Mytilus edulis: one gene and its partner. The protein of the gene in region 1 purifies or fractionates together with the protein of each later gene. This does not show direct contact. Links are inferred from orthologs where the notes say so. Each region holds a gene or a part of one and is shown in the gene's direction. Other genes may lie near its edges.

Region 1 (7,837 bases):
TTCACCAAAACCTGGAAACAAACTTTTTTTTCCAAAAAAAAACCATAGCCCCCCCCCCCCCCCCCCCCAGAAAATCAAATGGTTGCTGCCTAAACCCTATGTGAAGTTGAAAATCTTAGAAGAAATAATTGATATGAGAAGTTTCAGTGTGCTTTTATTTCTATAGTTGGATGTGATATTAGTGCATTTAATCAATTGTCATTAAAATACCTGAAAGCAATTACAAGCTAGTTTGCCTGTTGTGTTCCTTGGCATAGAATTAATGCAATTTTATCCTGTTAGTTTAAATTCCTAAGTATACATCTATTAACACAAATATTGAAATAAGAAGAAAAGGTACAATTAATTAAGGGCTCGTGAGAACATGTTCCCCATTCAGTTGAGCTCACATTATTTAGCGAAGCTCTTTTTGCAATTGTTTCAAAATCATAGAGACTCTCTTAGTTGGATGTTTAATGGTAATGGTGTGACCATGTCAATGGATCTATGCATTGTATATCACTATCATGTCGAGCCAGTTCTTGCAAAGTTCTCGTCCCTCTGCGCTTAAGGACTTAAGGGCATACGATACAGTTTTGATCCCGTATTTACATTTTGATACAAATTGCCATATAGACTATATTTTACCTGATTAAATCAAATATGTAATAAACAAGAATGTGTCCATAGTACACGGATGCCCTACTCCCACTATCATTTTCAATGTTCAGTGGACCGTGAAATTGGCATTAAAATTAGAAAGATCATATCATGGGGAACATGTGTACTAAGTTTCAAGTTGATTGGACTTTAACTTCATTAAAAACTACCTTTACCAAAAACTTTAACTTGAAGCGGGACGAACGGATAGACGGACGGACGAACTAATGAACGAACGAACGAACGCACAGACCAGAAAACATAATGCCCCTCTACTATCGTAGGTGGGGCATAAAAATATGCCTTCATGTGCTACTTTTTGTGTAAAATGAGGTCGTAATTGTGTATATTTGCTCAAAATTCGGATTTGTGGCCGTATTTTCCCTTTCGAAAGAAAGACATAACTTTTCATGTTTTAAAAGATAAACACAAATTGAAAAAAAAACCATAGAGACTCTCTTAGTGGGATGTTTAATGGTAATGGTGTGACCATGTCAATGAATCTATGCATGGTATATCACTATCATGTTGAGCCAGTCCTTGCAATGTTCTCGTCCTTCTGCGCTTAAGGACTTAAGGGCATACGATACAGTTTTGATCCCGTATTTACATTTTGATAACAATTTACATATAGACTAAATTTTACCTGATTAAATCAAAAATTTAATAAAAAATATACCTTCATGTGCTGCTTTTTGAGTAAAATGAGGTCGTAATTTTGTATATGTGCACAAAATTCGGATTTGTGGCCGTTTTTTTCTTTCGAAAGAAAGACATAACTTTTTATGTTTTAAAAGATAAACACAAATTGGTTTTTTTTTGTTAAATAATTTGTAATTTCTGTATTTTATAAGTATCCGAAAAATGTATACATTTTTTATTCAAAAATAACTCATATTCATCAAATATTCATGTAGAAAAAAACATCATGTTTTGCTGTTTATTTATCAAATTAAAAAAAATATGCACTAAAAATTTACGTTTTCATGAAAATTGGCACACCTAATCTTCTCGCTTAATCGAACCAAATGGAATTTAAAAAAAGGGGTCTAATGAACTCGTTTTCAAGTTAAATAAGTTTGAATGATAAAAATCAGTCGAAAACTGAATCTTTTCCCAATAAGTCATATATATAGTTTGACGTCGCGAAAATAACAATTTACGTTAGCAACGTCATTACCTCCCCTGTAACTGTATCATATGCCCTTAAGAACTATGAGGACTGTAACGCCCTTTTACTTTTTCCTTTCTATCCTAGAAGTAGGTGTTATACTCTGGGGGATTTGTAGTTAATATTTGTAACCATTTTTTTCATTATCATTACATCTGACGTTTGTGATTTTTGCTTGTTTTGCAGCTGATGTTTCGTTTTTTAGCTCACCTGGCCAAGTGAGCTTTTCTCATCACTTGGCGTCAATCGTCCGTCGTCGTTAACTTTTACAGAAATCTTCTCCTCTGAAACTACTTGACAAAATTTAACCAAGTTTGGCCACAATCATCGTTATGGTATTTAGTTTAAAAATATGTCCGGTGACCCGTCCAACCAACAAAGATGGCCGCCGTGGCTAAAAATAGAACATATGGGGTAAAATGTAGATTTTGGCATATATCTCTGAAACCAAAGCATTTAGAGCATATCTGTTAGAGGTAAATCGCTTATCAGGTCAAAATCTATCTTTCCTCAAATTTTCAGATGAATCGGACAACCCGTTGTTGGGTTGCTGCCCTTGAATTGGTTAAATTAAGGAAATTTTGCCTTTTTGGTTATTATCTTGAATATTATTATAGATAGAGATAAACTGTAAAAAGCACTAATGTACAGCAAAGTGAGACCTTCAAAGAAGTCATCATAATCAAAATGGTCAATTGATCCCTTAAAGAGTTATTGTCCTTTATAGTAATTTTTTTTAACAATTTTCATAAATTTTGTAAATGTGTAAATTTTACAAAATATTTTAACTACTGGGATAGATTCATAGGTTCATTATAAATAGAGATAATTGTAATTAGCAAGAATGTTCAGTAAAGTAAGACCTGCAAACACATCACCATCAACAAAACACAATTTTGTCTTGAATCCATCTGTGTCCTTCGTTTATTATGTATATATGCACATAGACCAAGGTGAGCGACACAGGCTCTTTAGAGCCTCTAGTTTGAGTTTTCATTTTCTTGTTCGGGTGCTGTACTGATGTCCAGTGAAGTTTCTAGAAGTGAGTAAAAGCTGTTATAATATTTTTTAAGCTGTCGAGCTGTAAACTTAATGAATTTTGAAATTATTATAAAACTAAGGTTTCAACTCCCTCAGGCAAAGTTGGCTTTAGATGAATTTGGCTATTTATTTTAGGTATTTTTGACATATTGCTCTTCAACGATTTTCGGTACTTATCCATCTTCGGATTTCAAATGTTTGGCTTTGAGCGTTCCTGATGAAGGTAAATCCAGAAAAGCGCTTCGGACGCAATAAATTATTAAACGTGTTGTTTTCCATTTTTTAATGAATTGCGGTCTGAATGGGTTGCCACAACTAAAACAATTCCACCTTTCATAGATGTTACCACCATACTCGATACCCTTATGTCCAGTGGCGGATTCAGAAATTTTCATAAGTGGGGCCCACTGACTGCCTAAGAGGGGGCCACTCCAGTCACGCTTCAGTGATTCCCTATATAAGCAACCCATTTTTTTCCCAAAAGGGGAGCCCCCTGCCCCTCCCCCTTAATCCGCCTCTGATGTCTTGGCAATTGATAAGAAACCATTTGTCTTTTTTTTAAATGAGTTATTAAATTTATTATTTTAAATAGCTGACTGGAGACCATTTAATATAATGTGAGACCTCTAAATCAATATTGGAGTTTATTACCTAGAATATTAAAACATTTTTCATCCATAATTTATTTTTTCTTATTTTTCTGAGTTAACATTTGAAGCATTCTTGAAATAGTCATACTTTTGATCCGAGTAAACTATTTGAAACATCATTCCAGTCAGCTAAGAGGTATTTTTGAAAATTTAATTCTGTTTTGTCATTATGTTTGTGTATGCGTTGCTTTGTTTGAATGCAATATATTTGACCTTGTTTTGTGGAGAGGGCTTACATAGGCTATGCCTGTTGTCCAATCCAATTCAATTTATTTGAATAAAATATTGTTTAAACTAAACTAAACCATTTGTCACAAATTTCGAATCCATGACCCTGTCGTCTAAGGTCACACGCAGGTTAGACGTTCCACATTGGTATAAGCACTATATAAATGATGTTGCCATTATTTCACGTGTTGGTACTTGGACTGACTTTATTCTGCATTTGCTAGTAGTATGAAAAGTAAATATAATTGTCAAAAGAGACACAAAAATAATATAAAAGCAAATTCCATCTAAAGCTAACTTTGCTTGAGTGAGTAAGAGTTTTCCAATCTTTTCGGCCTGCATGATGGTATACGTACTTGCCTTAAATCTGTTGATCCTCGTTAGGTAGGTAAGGATTTTTATTTTATTTTATGGTGTTTTTTTTTATACATTGAGTCTATGGGAGCAACATTCCGACGAGTGACTTTTCAAAATAGAGTTTAATGAAAAATGACAAATAAATCTTTAGGGTAGGCTATTATTTAGACTAAAAAGTAGGGTAGGTAGGGTAACTGGAATGACAAATATAATTTTGTTTGGCCTAAGTAAAACCAACAGATGCCAAATTAGACAAAATGCAAAATCACGAAAGAATTTCAACTTTTATGCCAAAAAAGTACATCAACCTCAGATTGCTTCAGGGGCGGCATCCAGTCGTGTTCAAAAAGGGGTTCCAACCATTATTTCCCAATTCAAAAGTATTGATCGTAAAAAAAATAAGATGTGTTCACCCCTGACCCTCCTTTTTTAAGTGGTCCACCACTAAACCTCTAAATGTTATATACTGAGGATGGGAAATATAAGGTTGAGGTCGAAATTTTGAGGGGGAAACATCTACATGGAATTTGTATATGTATTTCAATTTCAAATTTGATTATCAAGTTGCAAAATCAAGAAAAATAAAACCTTTTCTCAGTAATAATTAGTTCTAATAAAAAAAATTATCCTTAATGTGCCTCCTTTTAACGTCATACGTCAACTGTCTCGTGTTGCATATTTTACGAGTACGGAAAGTGCCGAACAAGCTAATTCTGGTGTGTGATTGGTTAAAAATTGTATTCTCGTGATATCACGAAGATTCACGGCCATGTTCTCGCCCGTCATTGTAGATCACCCATTGGAAACCAAATTTGCATTAACATTGTGCTATCGATTAACAAATCGGGTTGAATAATAGTGGAAATAGAACCCTTTAACTCATTTAAATGTGCCCATATATTCTTCATTGAATTTTGATGGAAAAAGACATATGTAATAAGTGAATACTGGACTTAAAAGTGAATATAAACCTTCGTTTATCTTGATTTCCTTGGAATATTTACGAGCGCCATTTGGGAGATGTGACTGACAGGCTACATCTAAGAATATCAGTTTTAATGACTTTTAATCCTTCTAGATCATGAGTGGACGTCCCAGAACAACGTCCTTTGCTGAAGGAAATAAAGCCGGATCGACTGCACCTTACGGCGGAATGAGAACAATAAGTAGGTATCCTCCATCAGTTGCAGTACCGAATTGGGTCATCACACAATCAACATGGCGACCAAGAAATTGCTAATGATTTCCATTTACAGCTACATAAATTTAAGTTTCTGCATTTAACATTTTACCCATACGATTTCCCTTTCATTATACACATTGGTTTGAAACCACGTTGTCAACAGCCAAGTCTGAACAACTGCACATCGCATGACTAACTGATATAATATGAAAAAGTGATTCACAATATAAAAATTGCATCCAAGGCACTGACCTACCCCAATAATAACCTATATACATGTGCTGCAAGATGAAAAGTATAATATAAAAGAATTTGCAGCTATCAGTGCTGTGTCAAACAATTATTTCATGCTGTAATAAGTCAATATAAGACAGGTGTGAAAAAGATTACATGGGGGCGATAAACAAGGACAAAATTATTCACTGTCTAAAAGAATCCAATCCTTGCTACAAATTGTAGAATGAAAAAAATGTCTCCAAAAGATGTCATCAGGGCTTTTCATTTAAGCCGGTAGCCGGCGGAAATCGCCGTTTGCATTGGTTTCAAGTGCCGGCTACTTCACTGACAAAAATATAAATTAAAAAAGACAAAAATATCTTTTTCAAATGTTTACAAGCAGCCGAGAGACGTATTGTCGCAAAGTCGCGGTCACGATAAACAAGGATGAGAAGTCAGTGTTTACCTTGGGCTAAATATAGTTCACATGAATTCAGGTCACTGATTGGCTGTCTATTTAAAGTCAGAATGCATCGTTTCTTTTCAAAGATAACAAGAGAGACGTTCCGGTGGTCATTGAACGATAACAATAGAGACGTTCCGATGGTCATTAACTCGTTGGCTTTTTTTTTGGCTTATAAAACGTGAAGACAATCAGATAGGATGACAATCTTATGTTATGGAATAATAGCAGTCAAATTAAAGAAAATACAGTAGATCAATTTGTTCAGAATCTGGAAAACAGTATCTTTTGAAGTTCATTTTTCAAAACCCACGTGGTGTTCAGAGAATCAAGGTCAAAAACGAAAGTAGAATATTGTCGACTCGACCACAAATAAATAACATTTCCAAATGATTTATGTATCCCGACTTATTGAACAGTATACAAAAAAGCGAAAATCAGAGGATATATCAATTTTCTGTCAATTTGAGAAATAATTGTATGATTTAAATACGTGTAACAGTCTTTATAGAGAAAAGGTGGGTCATTTGTTTACAAATGCACGTAGTTATGCAAAATAAATCAATCAAGATTTCTAACAAACCAAATTATTATAAAAATAAAACTCCTTTAAAAGTAAATGAATTTTAAGCATAAGGTAATAAAATAAAAAACTATAACATAAAAAAAATGAAATATCTTTGAGATTTTTTTTTTCTTTAATTTCATACATAAAAAATGGTCATTTGAAAGATGATAATAGATGCCAGGAGATTGCTAAAATGCAGGATTTTGCTCTATTTATGCCAGAGCTTCTGGTGGCCTTGAGCGGACCCCAGACCCCCTGCCGTAAGGCACCAAGAGCTTGGTGGGCGTCCGGCTTCGCCGAACGCATGTTACAGTCGCCTATTATTTTAATTGAGCCTTCTACTTCAATTTCAAGGGAAAGCCCTGTGTCAATTTTTTTCCATTTTGACTGAACATGTTTGTCTTGCAACTGGTATCAGGCTGACATGGTTCTTCTTGGTGACTGGGGCAATGACATTGTTTTCCTTCCATTGCACCTTCTTTCTGGATCCTCAAAAGTGATATACATGTACAATTGCCGGGTTGTTCATCACTGATCACAACCAACAGTTGCTCAGCTCTCTTCATCGGGAATTTTTCATTAGAGTTAATTTATCCCCAAAATAACAGGCTTCTCAAAAAAAATATCCAGTACATTTAACTCAATTGTTTTACAGCACAATATGTATGTTGTTTTATCTAGAACTTAATAAGGGCATGGTAATTTATTTATCAAAAGGGCACTTGCGCGTTGCCTACATGTATGCAAAAAAGGGCACATACATAAACTAGTAAGTTACACATACTCAGGGTTTCTCATTTAAAAAGATATATAAATATCTCAGTGACGTCAGGTGCTCCAATTGATAAACAGATCCAGCTCAACATGTGGCACCAGTCATATTGCTCATTTTATTTCAAACCCGGTAAATATTCTAATTGATAGGTCACTTTCGTGAAAATGGAACAGGATTGCAGTTTCCACATAAGGAACATCAAATATCATCTGTGAAACGGATATTCCAGAATGGTCAACCAAATCGTGATGGCATCCTTAAAATTTAAGAAGGGATGATTTAAATTTCATCATTTGGAACTCTTGGTTTAATATCTTCCTAGTTACTGTAACAGCAACCCTCTATCAAGGAAATCATCATAGGAAAAACAAGCCTGGGAATATTGTATCAATTGGGAGATACATATGGACCATAATTTGCTATTGGGCTCCGTTTCCTATAACTAAAGAAAAGTGATAAAATTTGAATTACTGTAAGAAAAGTTGTAACTGCATCTAAAGATGCCATTATTTTTATTAACATACAAGTGTATGCTACTCTTCCCTA
Region 2 (7,514 bases), on another chromosome or scaffold:
AATTATACGTCTTTTAAAGCAATGTTGATAAAAATCCATCCATAAATGTCTTAAAAATATTATTTTTTTGAAAAAATATGTTTTTATATGAAATAAATGGCAAAAAAGTGCAGATGACGAATACGTTTGGCCGGGTACTGTATGCCAAACGGGTTTTTTTTTTAGTGATCCTTGATATGGAAATATATTTACGAGTTTGAAGAGAAAAACTGACGAGACTATATAATACAGTCTTGTCAAAAGGGAGTTGTCAATATCAATGCCAACTACAAAGGACAACTATGAGTTCTGTATCATATCAAATGCGAAAGAGATGAAGAAAGAGCAGCAGTAATATAGTGACGATTACCTATTAATATGAATTGGTAGAACGATAAAATGAAAACTGTGTCAGATATGACTGTCCTAAAACATAAAAAGTGGTCTCAATATAAAAATGCATGCTTTTTACTTCTAATAGAATTTTGAACGCAAAAACCATGTAAATAAACTCCTTACAGACGTTCTTGCGCATAAAACATAATATATACCACCCATTCCAGGGGCGGATTCAGCCTTTTAAAAAGGGGAGAGGTTCCTAACCAAGGACAAAAAAGGGGGGGTTTCAACTACATGTCCCCATTCAAATGCATTGATCGTCCAAAAAAGGGGGGTTCCAACCACTGCATTCTGTATACAAAGCTGGTATCATGACCTCAGTCATATCGTTAAGTCTCTTCATTTGCTGTTCACCACCAATTTATATTGATATTGTTAAAACTTTTACTTTTCATGCCAGATATTACACACCGTCATATGGTTAGCCAGTTGCGTAGTGTAATGGTTGGTAATACTTAGAAATAAGTATGTCTTCAACACATATGCATGGTAGATTTCCACAAGCTATGGTGTTTGTTTACAAATCGATATTAATGAACATCCGTAAAAAGGTAAAGAATGTCCATTATGGTGTTCTTTAGCAGACAAGGTGAGAAAAGAAACTGAATCAATCACTTATTACAACACACAATATTTCAGTGTTCCGTAAATATTTACGCTGTAACTTTGGAAAGATCTTTCGTAAGATTAAAATTATAACGACTTTGACCCTAACACTCCGACCAGATAAATAATCTGAATTCAAATAATTAAATGAGTAATAGTTATTTAAAGAATAGTCCCTCATAATTACCATGTGATTACCTCTTGAATTATTTTATTTTTCATTTTGACCTCGAGCATCACTGAAAAGACATTGATTGTCGAAATGAGAATATGGTGTATTTTAAAATTAGTACCGTTTATGGTCGATACCACTGGGTTGATACCTCTGCTTGTAGACTATTAGTCTCCGCACCGAGTCTATCATAAGTGGCGACAACTTCGGTACTGGTATAAAATTTGTAATTTGCTGTTACATACAATATATATAATTTTGAAAATCGTTTTTAATTGAGGTATTATATATCTGTAATAAATATATTTTATTCCTTATTCGGTTTTGGATTTATTATTGGTCCTCTTTGGTTATTATTACAAGACCTACCAATTGTATTTATTGTTAACTTGTTCTCGTCCTGAACATGCATGAAATATTTGCCACTGGACGTTTAGCAACCAACAATCAATCAATCTTTGGTTTTATCAGCTCTTCACGGTTTGTTTAAGGTTACGTTGGCTTTTCACATACATGTATTTTGTCTTTGAGTATCATTGAAGGAACATTGATTGTCGAAATGCACTACAATATGTATCTTTCCTTAATGTTAATAATTATAAATTAAACCATGACAATAAGAAATTTTACTGACGTGTTGCTCAGTTTATTTTCTATGGTGCGTATCAATTTATAGGCATTTGTTTTTCTTTTGTTCGATTTCATTTTTTGCCAAGGCATTGTCAGTTTGATTTTGAATTTGAAAGTCTTTCAGTATTTTAGTTATTTTAATTTTTGGTATCTTTCGTCTCTCTAAAAGTATTTAAAACAGTAATGCTTAAATAACTAATTTTACCTCTGTTTTTGAATTACCACCTACCAGTAGTTTTTGTTGCCTAGTATACACAGGCAAAATTTTGCTAAAGTGAATTTCACATGAATATCATATGAAGTTCAACTCAAACGAGCTCAAGTTAAACATTAAGCTCACGTGAAGACTTTCATGTGAATTTCACGTGAATTGAATCACGTAAATTGTTCACGTTTAAAATTTAAGGCGAACTTTTAAAAAAATTGGTATTTTCCATGATTTTAATTACATTTGAAAATTTAGATGCTATTTTCCATGATTTTAATTACATTTGAAAATTTAGATGCTATGTTCCATGATTTTGAATACATTTGAAAATTTAGATGCTATTTTCCATGATTTTGATTACATTTGAAAATTTAGAAGCTATTTACCCTAACTTAATTTAAAAAAAAAAATACGTGAATTTCACATAAAAGAAATTCTCGTGATTTTCAAGTTAATTTCCCGTGAGTTTCACATGTCATGATGAGATTCACGTATAAGCTCGATTGAGGTGAAACTCACGTGAATTTCAAGCGAGGTTTACATGCATTTAAATTCTCTCGTTATCATCATACTGCACGATACCTAATATATAAAGAAATAGAGAGAGTACTCTGTAGAGTATGTGCATGTGATAAGGTTACAATCTCGTAATCGTCAAATTGCTGGTTTACAAATGGTGATTTCCATTGTCATTGGTTTTTCAATATCCATATTTGATATATTTCCAAGTAACAGTTTTGCGCCAATAACATCAAGCAATTCTTATAAAAACGGATTTGTTATATAAGAATTGGGAAATGTTGTATAATTGCAATTATACTATTATTTAACAAATTCCAAAACGATAATAAATTTTTCTCATTCCGGTTAGACTTGAATACAATATCCACTGCTCGGTGAATCAACTCAGTTGGCCCAACATAAGCCGGCTTAATTCACCTTTCTCTAAAAATCTTTTATTTTCTTTGTACAGTTAGACGGCAGCTGAGAGACATAAACAGACTACATATAGATGTTTTAATAGATAGTTAGATCAGAGAATTATTGTTGTATTATATGTCGCTGGTTAGATTCAGTGTCTATTAAAGTGGTTTTTTTTAGGCACTGGCTACGGTTACATGGAAATGTAACAATAATAAAAATATTATTGTTACATTGGAGACTAATTGCCGGAATGCAAAGTTGGGTGAGGAACCGATTAATTACGAATGTAACAATAATTACTGAGGCTACGGTTAGATTACGTTATTGTTACATGAAAAACAGCAATGTACGCTAGATTTATTAAACTTAAATCTTCTGTAGTTGTTTTGCTTAATTCTTTCATATGTACTAAACAATACTTGTAATACTGATAAATAATAAATATTATTATTCAACAATCAAATGGTGTATAACCTGAATATATTTACGTATTAATGGTTTTGATGTTCTTAATGATACTACTCAAGATTATGAGTGTCAAAGGCGAAACATATAGTTCAATGGTTTCACTTTTTAAAAGTATTTAACTGCACACCTACTCTTATTACTGTCAATTATACTTTAAACCATTTTGTTAGGGTGAAAAACTTTTAAAAATGGGATGCGTTTTAAACCGGCGAAACTTAAACAAAATCAAGACATAAATTTCATACAGCTATACAACTTGACCCAAATTGATACATCAAAAGAAAAGTTTGCTAACTGTAACTTAAATACTAAGAACTTCTGTATGTACACGTAACCGTAGAGGACGTAATTTCGTTCATCGAAAATGTGTCGGACTTTAAAAACCACTTACTTGATTTGTAGAAAGTGTCAGTGTAAATAAAAAATTACAGTAAATAAATTGTATGTAATAAATGTATGTATTGTAAATATAAAATAAATGTCTTCATTTTTATTATTTAGTACATATTACTAGTCCCATCGTACAGCTGTTTTTCATGTAACAATAGCGCTATGTAACCGTAGCCTCAATAATTATTGTTACATTCGTAATTAAACAGATCCTTACCCAACCATGCATTCCGGCATTTAGTCTCCAATGTAACAATAATATCTTTATTATTGTTACATTTCCATGTAACCGTAGCCAGTGCCTTTTTTTTAACGTGCTGCTATAAATTGATTTTTGACTTCAGTGGCGGATCCAGGGGGGGCGGGGGTTTCCGGGGGTGCGCACCCCCCCTTTATTTTTGCCGATCAATGCATTTGTATCGGGACATATGTTTTGCACCCCCCCCCCCCCTTTGCCCTGGGTGCCCTGGGTTAGCACCCCCCCCCCCCCACCCCCCCCCCCCCCTTTTGAAAATTCCTGCATCCGCCCCTGGACTTGGCCTCACTTGGGACTATTCATAGGTCTTATATGCATTCTAATTATTGAATCAACTTTAATTATTAACAAATTGCATGATAAACACAAACAACATTCTGTTTTAGACAAGTACAATTTACTGAGAAAAATTAAGTATGGAAAATAAAATTATTATCTCCCTTTTGGTATTTAGAGTAATAGAGTTATCTCCCATTTGTAATGGATCAAGATGAACATACACTTCGTATAGAAGCAGAAGAAGTTGTTAAAGAAGTGGCATACGCTGTGAAGTTTGTTATAATATCTCCCAATTTACCAAGCACCAATGAACTAGTATATCTTAATTTGGAAACGAAGGAAAATGAAGAATTCTGCGTGGAACTGTCAGTTCGTGGATTCAGGGTAAGCAGACAGGGGAAATAGATAGATAGTCATTAGTTGTAAGAGTGATGAGTAATTCTCTAAATTATAAAGTAAAATTAATTTTTGACAACGCTGTAAAACGTTCTGTATGTTGACATGTTGTCAAATCGTAGGAGAATATGTGGAGCTACAAGTACAATGTAACTAGCATGCAAGGTTTGATGATTTTGTTGTTTTGTTGGAAAAAAGGGGGAGGTGCTCATAATGAATGTCAAAAAGGGGGAGGGGTTACTGAAATAAAAAAAGTTTTGAAAAGAAGTCAGTGGTAAAAACAGGTCACAGGACTATTTCCTGGAAATTTCACTACTTTAAAAAAAAACCAGGAACGTATATACTGTTCCCAGAGAAAACAAAATAATGTCAAATTTGAAATATATATATATATATATATATATATATTTATTTTGTTAGATTGTTGTTATTTAGTTTTGATTTTATTTACCATCTTCACTCTTTATTAGAAGTCCTACGATCCCTTTTGTATAATTGCTGTCAGGCTTGTAAAATTCTTTTCGTCAAGCCAACAGAATCAACTAAAATTTTCAGAATTTTAATAGCTTTGGGCTTCATGTGAACTCAAAAGTTTAGCGTGAAGTCACCAGAGACATGATATTATACAATATTTGTGTTTATTGCAATTGAATAAATTTTCAAAGGTTACTTACAAATGCATTCCATGTTAATGTCAAGTTTTCTAAAGAATTCATTAAATGTTTATTTAAGAATTGAATGCTTCTTTTTGTAACTTCAATGGGGTGTAAAAGCGTTGACCAAAGTACATTTTGTCATTCTAAAAATGTGCACACAGTCAACGCTTTTACACACCTATGAAGTTACAAAAAGAAGTATTCATACTTTATGGCTACATTTTTTTTAACGAGGATCATGAAAACACAATTTTTATCAAGTTTTTATTTAATTTATCTACAGGTACACTTTATTGTGGGACCTCGTGTCGTCAATGACTGATAAATTTTATTGTGTAATGAAGTTGATTAACGAATAATGCGTCTTGCAGTGTAGTCAATCAGAATAATGTTTTATAATGAAATATACATCTAATGTAGTTATTTACTTATTAACCATATGATAACTGGCTTCAATTTCCTTTCAATAAAAAAAAAGTAAATTATCAATCAATGCTCCGGGTGTGGGAATTTCTCGCTACATTGAAGACCTGTTGGTGACCTTCTGCTGTTGTTTTTTTCTATGGTCGGACTGTTGTCTCTTTGGCACATTCCCCATTTCCATTCTCAATTTTATTCATATAACTTTAAAAAAGAATGAGAGAGAACAAAAAATACCATCATACTTTAAAACATTTGTACAGAAATGAACATTTTTTCCTTAGTATCAGATATGTGACTTCTTTCCCTACATGTACATTTATCAAATGTGGGATAAATGTGCAACTTTTTATAGTGTGATTCTTTTTCAGTTAACTAAGAAAATTGTTACAGGTTACACTTAATAAGAAATATTGGTTATTCTTTGATGAAATTATTACAATATTCAATAGACATGTATGATATATAGATATGTAAAGGTGGTATGAATGCCAACGGGACAACTCTCAACCAGAGACCAAATGACATACATGTAGAACAACAGGTCAGCCATTTCATTGGCCAAATGATATTTATTTCATTTTTTGTATGACTATTTTCAAAATTTATGATTTATGATAGCATGTTGTTACTTATTGTTTATTTGTGTTGACATTTTACATTATGTTTGTTAACTTTAAAATGTCAAGCACATGTGCTAACTGTTACTTCATAATACATGTATCCAAAGGTCATGTGTGAGATTCAGCTAAAAATCAATGATGAATAAAAGCCTGGTCTAAAGTGACATTTGTAAATGTCATTTCATTAAATATATATATATTTTTTATTGATATATCTTAATTACAAAAAATGTGAAATCTAAAATATGTAGAACTTAACTCATTCATATGGCAGAGAAGAAAGGGGGAGCAACAACAAAATACAATACAAATAGTTTATTTATGTCTCACCATTAATATTACAATACATAACATAATACACGAATACATACAATAATATAAAATATTAATGCCATTCTAAAAAGAATTATGAGAGAGAGAGCATTGTCCATATCTATTTTTTTAAGGGATGGGAAGGTCAAAGCATGGTTTGTGAGGGATGTATTACCAATGTCATTTCAACTGATCGGGCGGAGCTTACATTTTAATTTGCATAAGGACAGTCTATTTGACATGTTTGAAGGACAGTCTATTTGAAGATGTGTGTGATTAGGATGATTGCTGTTATAATTAATACTGATTTCTAATCACCTATCAGTGCCATCAAAGGAATTTACAAAAGAATAACTGGACACTTCATTTATGAGTTTATCCTAAAACACCTATCTATCTGATGACAAGGAAAATATACCTACAATTAGCAATGTATCTTGTTCGCGCACGACGGACCAAAAAGCGCATTCCAGCAATGACGAAAACGAATTGATCATTCATGTACCCAAGAGCGTAAAGCGTTTGAAAGTTGTCTCTTTTGATGGCAAAGTTATGTCATTTGACATGTAAAATACATTTAATACAATCAATTTTCAAATTGTTAGCTTTAATCTTTTAAAACTATGTGTTTGTGAGACTCATGTTCTTTATTGAAAATCCTCAATAAATAGATGATTGAAGTTACATTATTATTATAATTGTATATTTAAAAGTTATAGATTAACTAATTGAAGATTCCTTGCAATTTGGTATGATTTTTAGGCATCTCCGCTAATCTTTTCTGTGAGGAATTCAA

What was found. Proteins that work in one complex are often made in the same cells at the same time.
Region 2: the proteins of glycogen synthase kinase-3 beta-like (region 1) and GSK3-beta interaction protein-like purify together in Drosophila melanogaster (affinity purification with mass spectrometry, with the first as the bait; 3 studies listed by BioGRID). This does not show direct contact. The link is inferred for Mytilus edulis from reciprocal best matches to the Drosophila melanogaster genes sgg and CG11523.

Annotation. Positions count from the first base shown.
Region 1 is NC_092348.1:72,216,449-72,224,285, reverse strand, and holds the start of glycogen synthase kinase-3 beta-like, read left to right. Parts: upstream 1-4,831; 5' UTR 4,832-5,167; coding exon 5,168-5,252; intron 5,253-7,837.
Region 2 is NC_092353.1:34,109,030-34,116,543, forward strand, and holds the start of GSK3-beta interaction protein-like, read left to right. Parts: upstream 1-4,492; 5' UTR 4,493-4,512; coding exon 4,513-4,695; intron 4,696-7,514.